Arabidopsis thaliana: one gene and its partner. The protein of the gene in region 2 interacts with the protein of the main gene of each other region in a pairwise test. Each region holds a gene or a part of one and is shown on either strand. Other genes may lie near its edges.

The links.
Region 1: the proteins of AGL66 (region 2) and AGL82 interact in a two-hybrid assay, tested with the Arabidopsis thaliana proteins (one large-scale study listed by BioGRID).

Annotation. Positions count from the first base shown.
Region 1 is NC_003076.8:23,778,285-23,783,674, reverse strand, and holds AGL82 (AGAMOUS-like 82), read right to left. Parts: upstream 2,844-5,390; coding exon 1,959-2,843; downstream 1-1,958. Other genes in the region: AT5G58900 (Homeodomain-like transcriptional regulator), read left to right, coding at 1-400; AT5G58880 (LRR protein), read right to left, coding at 4,074-4,081, 4,176-4,530, 4,719-5,390. UniProt on the Arabidopsis thaliana protein: Probable transcription factor that may function in the maintenance of the proper function of the central cell in pollen tube attraction.
Region 2 is NC_003070.9:29,313,327-29,320,285, forward strand, and holds AGL66 (AGAMOUS-like 66), read right to left. Parts: upstream 3,861-6,959; 5' UTR 3,742-3,860; coding exon 3,557-3,741; intron 3,457-3,556; coding exon 3,403-3,456; intron 3,317-3,402; coding exon 3,284-3,316; intron 3,174-3,283; coding exon 3,155-3,173; intron 3,031-3,154; coding exon 2,969-3,030; intron 2,864-2,968; coding exon 2,836-2,863; intron 2,763-2,835; coding exon 2,701-2,762; intron 2,607-2,700; coding exon 2,507-2,606; intron 2,418-2,506; coding exon 2,085-2,417; intron 2,009-2,084; coding exon 1,886-2,008; 3' UTR 1,515-1,885; downstream 1-1,514. Other genes in the region: AST56 (STAS domain / Sulfate transporter family), read right to left, coding at 4,639-4,791, 4,899-4,975, 5,082-5,176, 5,295-5,488. UniProt on the Arabidopsis thaliana protein: Probable transcription factor that forms a heterodimer with the MADS-box protein AGL30 and is involved in the regulation of pollen maturation at the late stages of pollen development and pollen tube growth.

The DNA of each region.
Region 1 (5,390 bases), on a different chromosome or scaffold from region 2:
GAAATATGGGAAAGGAGATTGGAGAAACATATCTCGGAACTTTGTGATAACGCGAACGCCAACACAAGTAGCTAGCCACGCCCAAAAGTACTTCATCCGGCAACTTTCCGGCGGCAAGGACAAGAGACGAGCAAGCATTCACGACATAACCACCGTAAATCTCGAAGAGGAGGCTTCTTTGGAGACCAATAAGAGCTCCATTGTTGTTGGAGATCAGCGTTCAAGGCTAACCGCGTTTCCTTGGAACCAAACGGACAACAATGGAACACAGGCAGACGCTTTCAATATAACGATTGGAAACGCTATTAGTGGCGTTCATTCATACGGCCAGGTTATGATTGGAGGGTATAACAATGCAGATTCTTGCTATGACGCCCAAAACACAATGTTTCAACTATAGCTAATGAAGATCCATCTCTCTAATTAAAAAGTGTAAGTTAAATTCTTAATTTTTCATATGGACGAAACAATCATATTTGGCAATTGTATAATAAACGTCCATTGTTTTAATTCCAAATTGAAATAGTTAATAAAAGTCTCTTGACAGTGCCTAAGTTATCTTTGAGTAAAATTGTTAGTTAAGTTTCAAATGGTTGCAAGTTGCAAATTAACAAGTGGTGTGACAAAATGAAAGATAGGTGATGCCAAATTAAAACGATATACAAGTGAAGCCAAATTATATCGTCTTTAACAGCTTACGTTATACGCATATATACAACATAACTCCAACTACTCATCCACTTCACTTCTGGACCACCGATACGAAATGGGCTGTCACAGCTTCACATCTAATACACACAAGTTCATCAGCGGTTTAAGATTCATGAACATGCTTGAAGCGTAAACCGAGACTAAACCTAACAAAACATCATCATATGTGTTGTGTACGATAGACAAACCCGATCGAATTAGCAGATGTAAGAAGTGCTTAAACAAATCCTAAACAGTGCCAAATATGCAAATGGTGGTTGTGAATAACCCCTTTTGAGAAACACAACAATAGTCTAATTCATATCAGCATTATCATATTATATAGTATGATGCATAAAAAAAATATTAAATCCGATATTGTGCAGTGTTAGTTGTTGAGGGAAAAAATTAAAAAAATATGTTTGTAATACAAGTTGCAGGGAAAAAGGTTCAAAGACACAAAGTTGGCCATCTCTAACTTAAATATCCAATATTTGTCGTGTAATGTTTGAATAATGTATAGATCACAATATGGCATTATTCGTTGTTCGTCTCAATCAACCAAACTATTCTTTCAACAACCACTTGAAGTTATAACAACGGACAATGTTTGAGAACAGTGCAACTAATTAAACTTTATAGTCCTTAATTTTTTCTTTTATTTTTTCCTTTTTCTAGACACGCTATAGATAGTCTGTAGGACAGTAGACACTATACGTATTTTGTTTTTTTGGTATAACCAAAGAATTTTGGAATTCAATCAACAAAAAGGTACAAATTATTAATTAGCTTTTAAAACAATGAACAAAAGCTATCAAGTAATTGAATAATCAACAAAGATTAAAAAAGATATTTTCTTTTAAAAAAGCTTTTACAAAAATAAATTACTCAGTTGCAAGATTTATAGTCTAGTGGTTAGGGTTGTCAATGTCTTACCATCCCAATTAAAACTCGACACGGAAAGTAAAATGATTAATTAATTCATCTTAACTAGTTCTTATAGATTTTGTTTTTTGGGACAATTTGGGAGATGATCATATAAAAACCAAGGATAATATAATAAAATAAGTGGTACATTATTTTCTGAGTGTTTAAAGAAAACTTTACGTATAACCGAAACTTGTATAAAATGTAAAAAGATGATGTTATGTCAAAAAAAAAACACTTGACTTTTGCATGTCAAGCCATCATACACAAAAAAAAATTAAAAACCCCAACAGAAACAAAACTATAAAACCCTAAAAACTAATAAAGCTCCGTAATTCAAATCATATCGTTTTCTTCCCTGAAAGCTCCCAATTTTCAACTTGATTTCCCGATAATCTCCAATTAGGAATATTAAACGGGACTTGATATCCCATAAACGGGTTAACATTGAAACCTGCAGACCTCGATACAACCTGTTCACGATTATAGTATGGTTGTTCTTGCCTCTGCATGAATTGAGTACCATCGTTTCCCTTTGACATCATCAAGCTTTGAGTCAAAGCCAAGTCGGTCCACTTCTCCATGAGATTTGGGTCCATTTGAATCTGACCATCATGAGGTGAAATCAACGAGAAACCCATATTATTGAAATTATTAGGGAAGCCTTGAAACTGTGGCTGCTCATGAAAATACTGTGGCATGAATTGTTGGTCCATTAAATTCTGCGGGAATGGTGTGTCCATGGCTTGATGATTAACCCTAAACATACTACGCTCCTGTCTCGTTACAGCTTCATTTAACTTGCTATCCACGGCACAGAAAATCCCATGTAGTTGCTCTCGTGAACACTTGTCTAGCTTCTCCTCCCAACTAGAATACTTATTCTCACGCTTCACTCTCTTTTTAGTCACCACCTCGTTTCCTTTCCCTACATCGTTGACGAAAGTCTCCACGTTGGTTTCTTTCCTGCAGCTGGTCGACACTGTGTCTTTGTACTTGCGTATGATGGCCCTGACTTTGGTCTCGTCCTTCGGCCATATCTCTGGCTCGGAAATCACCACATCGGTAGCCTTCGTGGGACCGTAGACGATGAGACATGTCTCGACGCCGCAGAGAGTTGAGAACTCTTGTGCCTTCTTGTAAAGACTAGCTTTCCTCTTCTTGTAAGTTGTTATCCTTGTCTTATCGTTCGCTATCCTTTGTAGGTCGACCACTTTCGGAACCATCCTTTGTAACCTGAGTTATTGTTATATATTACAAAAAAAAACATATAAACATATAAACCTTTTTCCCAAAAACAAAAGTACAAATAAATTGAATTGATATGTTTTGTAAAATACTTTGTTTATAGGCGTTTTGTGAATAGTTGGTCTATAAACACTCAAATTATGATCAAAACAACCCAAATTAAAGGCGTTTTTTCTATGCTGCCTCAATCCCCACACAAACCATAGGATAGAGCGAAAGAATTTTAAAATTACACTCACGAATAAATGAGAAAACGCAAAGCCAATAGTCAAAATCCGAGAAGTAGGAGCTAGCTAATTCTCGACACCCTCAAAACGAAATCAATCCCACAACAGAACAAATGAAACATGAAATACCTTAGAGCCAGAGCAGAATTAATGAACAAATGTAGAAATTGTTTATGGAAAAGATAGTATCCTTACTTGAATATCAAAGCAAAAGTTTCAATGAGATTTTATACCAAAACCGATTTTTTGGAGCTTCTGTCGGAATAAGGGTGAATCAAGCTAATATATGCGAGATTTTATATATTGAGCTTGATTAGGTTTGTGTTTATGGAAGGTTGTCAAAGATCACGAGATATGAACATTTAAATGATCATGAAAGTTTAGGAAAGAAGAATTAAATTGGGAATATTTAGTTTGCCAAAAGGGAAAATATACTAACTTGAAGATGCTTACCAAGAAAGACAAAAATGTTAAACACAGTTAAATTTATTTCTTTCCTTATTAGTTAGACGGTTTAATATTTATACACTTATTGTAATCTTGTTATATAATAGTCACCTTTAACGCCGGCAGCTCTTAGGGCCGTTGTTGTACTACTTATCCGTTGTATGCCGAAAAACTTTCTCGATTCGATTCGTTTTTTATGGATATGGGTAGCTTTAGGTTGTAATATGTTTCGCTAATATAATCTTAACATTAAAACAAAGAAGAAAAGAAGAGAAATGAATGCTAGTAGTTCTTCTGTGAGTATATATTCAAAAGATTTATCCATCTCTATACAGTATATTACAAAAGAATGAGTTGCCTTTACAAGTTGTATAATTAAACAAAAAGTCCATTAAATAATGATACAACACAATGTTTCACCTGTTATGGATCAAAAAGAATTCTTAACACATTTTCCTTGTGGCGTACCGTACCTTATGTGCAGCGTTACTTGTTTTCGTCATCATGATTCTGTGTGTTAGTATCATCAATGTGTTAATTTTCTGCAAAATAGTAAGCATTTGGTTATAACATAGGAATATCAAACACTTTTCTGATCATCTATGCTTTCTTCTCCATTTTTGAATTACGACTAACCTAAGACTCTGTTTTCGTGTTTTGTTGTTTGGATCTCCGCATTTTGCATTTCCTCTATTACTTTCTTGGATTCTTCATCGTCTTCTCTACCGACTAAACCAATATTATGGTGCAGTGATTCTAAATTAAGCTCTAGTTCCTTTTCCATAGCTTCTCCAACTTGCTCATCAAGTTTCAGAATCACTTCATCATTCCTCTCACTAGCAGCTAAGTCATTGGCTACTGCCGCGGTAATATCTTTATTGATATCTTGAGAGACGGTGTTTGAGGAAGAGGCAATAACATCGTCTTGCTCTAGTTGCTGGGTGATCTCCAATGTTCTTGGTGATATCCCTTGGGAAGAATCTATACCACACTATTCAATAAAAACAAAAGTGTCAAAAGCAATTACTAAAACTTCAAATCAAGAACCAACAACAGAGGAAGAAGCTAGTAAAATTTATTATCTTAGTAAATGGTTATGGATAATCACATATTCAGTGAATCATTGGTGGAGTCAGATTTGTCTAAAATGTCAAAGATGATTAGAATAGAAGGTGAAACCTGTTGAGTCCATGTTTGTGAATCTTGTGAGTTTTGAGTGTCAGCTAAAACTACTGATTCTTCCTCAACATTGGCTCTATTTTTGTATCCTTGGGGCGTTTCATCATTAAAATCTTTCAATACCTCTGTTTTTTCTTCTTCCTTAGAAATCTCCTGATCAGTTGACTCATCTAGTGGTGAGTTATTACCATCTTGGACTTGCAGAAGTAACACATCACTAGCATTTTCTGCGTTTCCACAGGCCTCAACATTTCCTCTATTTTTGTATTCTTGGGTTGATTCACCACAAAAATCTTTTAATAACTCTGTTTTTTCTACTTCCTTAGAGATCTCCTGATCAACTGACTCATCTAGTGGTGACTTATGACTATCTTGGACTTGCAGAAGTATCACATCACTAGAATTTTCTGCGTTTCCATAGTCTAAATCAACCAACTGTGTATGAGCATTGCTCGAAGATGCTTCCAAGACATTATGAGTCTTCTCTTCCTCTACTAGCATTGCTTTCTCATCAGCACTTTTGACTAATTCCTGACCATTCTCTTCCCTTACCACACTTTCTAGTAATTCTGTAGAAACTTGTCCCGGAGAACTCTTCAAATCACTTTCTGTTTCTTTTGTTGTTTCCTCAGTAGACTTGTCTAAGTTTGATTCTTCTTCTTCTTGTACCTC
Region 2 (6,959 bases):
TAAAATAATATTAGTTTTTAACTATTTAATTTTATTTAAGTATTACACATCCAAAAATATGAAATAGCCAGGCTCATCAAACAAATATGTTAAAATGAAAAATATAATCATCATTTAAGACTTAAACTATACTTTACCTCACCAAAAAAAAAAACTTAAATAGGCAGTCCAAAAATGGAGAAATTAATAACTAATTTTAGTCTTTAGACATAAAAGCATTGTTTGGTATTTCACAGGTCTAATCTAAATTTTCTTTAAAATAATGAGATTTAGTGTGATATATGAGGAAAGAAATCTGGAGATAATGATTGGTACATTGTTCTGATTGGATTCTACCAAAATAAGTCATCACTGAATTGTGAAAATCCCAAATGTCAGAGCTCTATTGCTTTCTCTAGATTTTGTGGATGTGTTTCATTAAAAGGCTTTTGCCAAGTTTCTACATCACTCATATCCTCTTAAAATAATAAAATTTGGAAATAAGACCACTTTTTCGAGGACAAATTTGAAAATAATATTGCTTTCAATGCAAAAATCATCCGTTTCATCGTTTTGACGGTTTTTCGTTAAGCTATAACAGATTCAAATTCAAACTACCTTCTTCAAGAGCAAAATCTATTTTGTAGTCATTGTGAATAATACATTTGATACACACTATTAAATTTCTGTGAATTTGTTTAACACATACAACTCAAATTCTACATACTAAGTTACTAACCTTTCTTTTTTTCATATATAGAGGACAGTTTTTACGTCATACCACTTCATCGTCTACGTAAGGTTATATAATTGATCTCTATGAGTATATATAAGATTTTTTTTTTTTTTTTTTTTTTTTGGGGGCACAAGTATATATAAGATTGTCTCACAAATTTCTTGATTGGTCCATTATTTATAGAATATATTGACTTTATTAGATACTACTTTTTTGTCAATGCATCTTAATTAGTGGATAACACATACGAGTTTGAAGTTCTTAGAAAATTTATAATAAAAGAAAAAAGCCTAAATTAATATTTTATGTTTTTTTTCCCAGATATCACACAAATTTATGGAAACCAGTGTTTTTTTTTTAAAATAGAAAAATGCATATGTTACTATTAGTCCTGATTTTATTTGTTTTATTTTTTTAAAGGATATTAGTGGGTCTGCGCACTTATAGAATGTTCGTATATACGTATGGCGTTTTATTCTCTTTTAATGAATTGGTGAGAGACATAGTCTCCTCCTATTCTACCAAAAAAAAAAAAGATTAATATAGAGGTATATGCATTTGCATGTATTACAAGTATTGAGCAACTGCACCCACTAAAATTCGATAGATCAAAATAATTTTCTAAATACTAACCATAGTGTCTCCACTAGAACGTTTAAACCCGCGTACGTTAGTGATATCAAATAAAAAAACTAAAAATTTTAAAAAATCACTCTTTCCGTTTTTTGTTTTTTTGTTTTAAGTTAAATTTCTCTTTCAACTGTTTTATACTTAAATAAGTCCAAACAAAATTATGATTATCTTCACTCAACCAAAAGTTGAATGATCTTTTAAAAAAATTAGACAAGCAAAATTGACATAATCATATGCATATTTGAGAGCAAAACATGTTTTTCATGTTTTATATACATAATATATAGTATATACATTGTTTAACAGTAAAATGTTTTTTTTATAATAGAAACGTTATGTACAATATACAAGTCAATAAAAGGTTAAGGTCTTAACTCTTAAGTGTGGAAGTTGTGTTTTATATAAACATATATATAGTAATATCTTGTCTTCATAGATAAATAAAACCGTATATATATTGTTAACTTTTCTAAAAAATAAAAGAAAAAACGTATAAATTATGTCAATAATATATGGTAAAATTGAAATTCCTTGAGATTATTGGCTACTGAGCTGAGGCATTCTTATATCATAGTCGGAGACCTCGTGGTCTGCTTGTGCATCCTTCTTCATAACCGGTATTTCAATTTCTTCTATATTGGGATCAACCACCAGTCCATGCTAACATATTTAAAAGCAAAAAAAAAAATTAGTGAAACAATTTTAATTTATTTCGGAAAAAGAGAAAATATAGAACCTGATGCTGCATAGGAGGAAATAGAGTCGAAGGGTTATGGGCCGTAGTAGAATTATAGGCTTGGGCCCATTCTTGAAACATGTCACCGTTATGATTTGACACATTGGATTCACCCATAATGTTGTTTTGGTTCGAGCTTGAGCTACTTCCTTGCAATAAAGTTTCATACATTGCTGAATGTGCCGATGCGTCGAATAAATGGGCTTCGTTAGGCCCATTTTCAGTCAGCCATCCTCCAACGACGTCGTTTCCAAAAGGCCCACCCATGCTTTGCTGTTGTTGTAAAGCAGATGCTTCATATGAAGATAATTGGTCTTGACTCAATATATGTTCCTGCGTCTCAAGAAATTATTTAGTTACTAATAGATATTGTTGAATACATTATGCTTAGAAAAAAATAAAGGGGAGTTTAAATTATTGACCCGTCGTTGATTGACACGTGTTAAGGTGTCCATGAGCTGCTTCTCACAAGTTTCGTACTCTTCCATTGTTGTAAACCTGATTGGATCTGGTTCGTATTTCCTAATTATATATATAATTTGGATATAAGTATTAGTTACATAAATTTTCATACATTGTATCACATTCACTGTGTTTTTGGTTATAAAAAGAAGACCTTAGTTCTTCCTCTGCCATGAGAAGTTGTTGTTGTAACTTATAAACTTCATGCTCAAGTTCCTAAAATTGATGATTAGAGAGTAAATAACATAAAGTAAAGTTATTAGCTAGAGGAAAAAAATAGAAGATTCACCTCGACGTCGGAGTTGATAGCTGTAGGGCTTTTTTAAAATCATCCAATAAGAGAAAAATAAAGAAAATCAACTTCCGAATTATTGCAAATAACGTAGTTATATAATAATGAAAGTAGAGAAAGAATTTGAGACTTGGTAAGTTGAAGAGCAATATCATTCTCAGCCTTGAGTTGCTGCAAAGTCCGGAGTAGATACTGTCACGTGACAAGAAAATTTCGAGATCAATAATCTGAAATGTATAATTGTCCTTCATTGAAAAGGAGCTAGGTATATATACACACATGACACATGCACAATATGCTTAATCTAATTACATACCTCTTTGCTCTGGAAATCTCTGCAAGATAGAGTTGTCAAAATATGAAAAACTCAATTAGATTTTGATGATTATAAATATACGGTTATTATATGTTTAATTATTTATCGGAATAAGAGTAAGATACATACGGGCGTCGACTTTGATCGGGGAATACTAGAGCACTAAAACAAAATGAAAGAGAAATATTAAGAACAAATGAGTGGAATATCTTTAGAGAATCTATTAAAGCCTTGAAAGGTCAGCTTACTTCTCTCGTTCTTGATCAGAAAGATTGATGTATCTAGAGAAAACGTCTTCAATCCTGACAAGAGTTTAACGAATAAATATAGATCAAATGAATGTTTCCATGTTTTGTACAATTAACCGAAAGAAAATGTTATAAGACAACAACAACAAAAAACCTTGTTTTGCCCGAAAAGAGGCTAAGGCGATCAGAGGGAGAGAACATGAGGAGAGCAATGTCGATGTCACAAAGAATGGACAATTCATAAGCTTTCTTTATAAGACCATTTCGTCTTTTGGAGAATGTAACTTGTCGATTCGTTGTGTTTTCTATTCGTTTTATCTCCAATTTCACTCGACCCATGTCTCTTATATCCGATCAATGCAACCAACAAACTCAAAGACTCTTCTTTATTTTGGTTTAGGGAATGCGAAAATCTGATCATTGGAGGCAAAAGTGCCTATATATATATGAGAGATGTACGGACGAGAGAAAAGAGAACCATGAAAGAAGGAGAGGTTAGGTATAAGAGAGATTTGGTTAGAAATGTATGGAAGAGATTAAGAGAGATTAAAAGGGTTTTGTTCTTTGAACGAATTAAGAATATGATGTTATTTTTTGCCACAGAAAATTCATATAGGAGTATTGGGATCAATTAATAACGTTCAGATTAACCAGCATATATCGTTTATTTTGTCAATAATTAATTGTAAAAACAAAACATAAAAGTCAACTAGTCCTCTTTACCTCGCAATGGCTACTCTCTCAGCATATGGAGAGGCTTCGGCAATATCTACTTAATGGTCAAATATTTGACTTTCCTTCAACGGCTATATTTTCCGACCGTTAAACACTATCTCAAGGTGTTTTTGCTTAAACATTGTGAATTGTTCGTGATGATGTTCAAAGTGGAAGATTCATATGATTATTCACTCACCAAGACACCAATGTAAGTTCTGATTCCAATTCACTGCTATATATATCCTTGTATTATTTTATTTATTTTTCTTAAAAAAACACTTAGGAATGTAAACCAAACCAAAAGATGTAAAAAAAAATTGTAAGCCAAACCAAAAGATGTAAAAGAAAATAAAAAGAAAAAAAGAAAAAAAAGAAGAAGAATATTTTGTAGCCTTATGCATTGAAATTTGTACTTTTTAGTCAGGTGTACATTAAATAAAAACTATAGGCTATATGAGAAAACAATAAAATTATCACTAGGTTATATGTTTGAGTTGTACTGTTTCTTACATATATATATCAACACAACTCGTGGGACGTAGATCTTGCTCTTACATAAATATCTACGGCTTCTCCTACTGTCATATATATATTTTCTGTCTTTATTTTCTCGTCCAATTTTGCTCGCTTCAATTTGTGAAGTACCCTCCATCTGGGACTAGCGATGACTAACTGCAGCCCACAAACATAAAACAAATATTGGTAATTTGAAAATCCAATGAACCCACATATGTAACTATAGTGAATGAATAACATTTGATTGAGAAATAAAGATGTACCCGGATGTCATTAGAAGCTAGCTCTTGATGTAGTTCTTCAAGTGCAAATACTCCTGATGTATCTACGCCCATCACGCCTTCACCAATATTTTGTTACATGTAAGATTCAGTACCTCTACTATATATACAATAAAACATTTTCTATAAATTAGTATATCATGATAGAATGTGGGATGTGCTTACAAGACATGTCGAGAATTACTACTTGAAGACCATTTTCTTTTAGAACTTCTTGTTCATTCTCCTCTCCTTCTATTTCTTGAACTGAATTCAATATTCTGAAAGAAGAAAAAATATTTATTTTTTTTGTCAAACTGATAAGAGTTTCACAAGAGTAACTAATGATGTTTGAACAAAAAAAAAAAAAAAAGAAGAAGATAAATATTGATTAATGACCTGTCTCTTATAAAATTGGCATTAGCAAAGCATAGCAAAGGAGAACTGATTCGAAGAGTCAATAATCCTGCAGTCTTATTTGCCATTGGATACTGATTTATGTCACCGAAGATATCTGTTTTTGATAACCTCCCTAAGGCCTCAATGCTTGGTCTTATCGAACTCAACATTATTCTTGCAAACGATATCCCCACCTACATATATACAAATAACTCTGTTATATACATAGTCTTATCCATCAAAATTCACAGTGTAAGATCACAACTGATTAAGCTGATCAAAAGGATAAAGATCGATCACAAGTATCCATTCTCACAGCCAGTTTTTCAAAGGTACTTTAAACATATGTATTTGATTTTTTGTGTACTTATTTGCCACTTGAATGAAACAGTATACATTATTGATTGTTTTGTCGTACAGGGTCTGTCTATGCACAGCGAATTTGGTCGGCCTAGTAGCATTTTTATATAGCAGTTTTATTGGTTAGAAAATATATGAGATATCGACGCTTTTGTTGTCTATAGGAATAATTCACATGATTGAATATAAAGAGTTTTGTTGACTTCCTCAGGGCATCAATCAATCTTGAGTAAAAACAATAGTTTCAATTATATAGTTAATAAACTAGATCATAACCCGTGCTATTAATATTTTGTATAAATTAAATTGTATATTTTGTTATGTTTGTTATGTTTGTCAAAATTATTTGTTATATTTGTCAAAATTTAGTAAAATATATTCAAATATAATTAAATTTATTAAAACTTAATAAATTTAAAAGTTTTTTTTGTTTGGAGACGCACTATCTACATACAAAATACCCGTTTCTATTTTTTTGAGTATTTTTAGGGCCTGAAACTTTTTATCCAAACTGACTCAAACCCAACTGGACCGACCCGAACCGAATATTTAGAATTATTCTATTAGGTAGTAAATCATATACCCATTAATCCCAAACCCGAACGGGTTCTACCCGAACTCGAATGTGTTACTCATATGCCCAGCCCTATTCTCTGATTTAATTATCTAAAAAATCCCAATAAAACATATGTTTTGCTGACTACTTTTTATTCAAAAAAATTTACATCCTCTTTTGCCAAAATCATTTCATAAGACATCCCAAAACCCTTGGAATAATGATTCCATGAATGAAGAATCCTAATTTGAATATACCAAGAGGTTTTGAAAGGTTTTAAGTTTTTGATAGGTGTGTATGTGAGAAGGTACATCCATCGTGATGGTAATCTGCTTATTTATAATTTTAACTTGCATTATACAGCAGGTAGGCTTATATTTTAGTTAAACTAAAAACTTTTATTGTAAAGTTGATTATAAATATATGATATTATTTTATTTGATTTTAAATGTATAGTAAACTGCGAGTTGTATATGTTTTGTTGATATTATTTATATTGTTTAGTGTTTAAAATTATATACTTGTATTTTGATTGTTAATTTTAGAGTTTCACCTGTAGTATACCATCTTGTATTAATATTGATTTAAACCCGTCAATTCTAGGATTTTTCAGCTTGTATTAAAAATTGAATCACATCATACACATTAAAAAATCTAATATGTTATTAATTATTGTAGTATATAAGATTATAAATTTTAAAATAATATGTATGAAATTGAATATAAATATTCAAATTATGACACAGTAC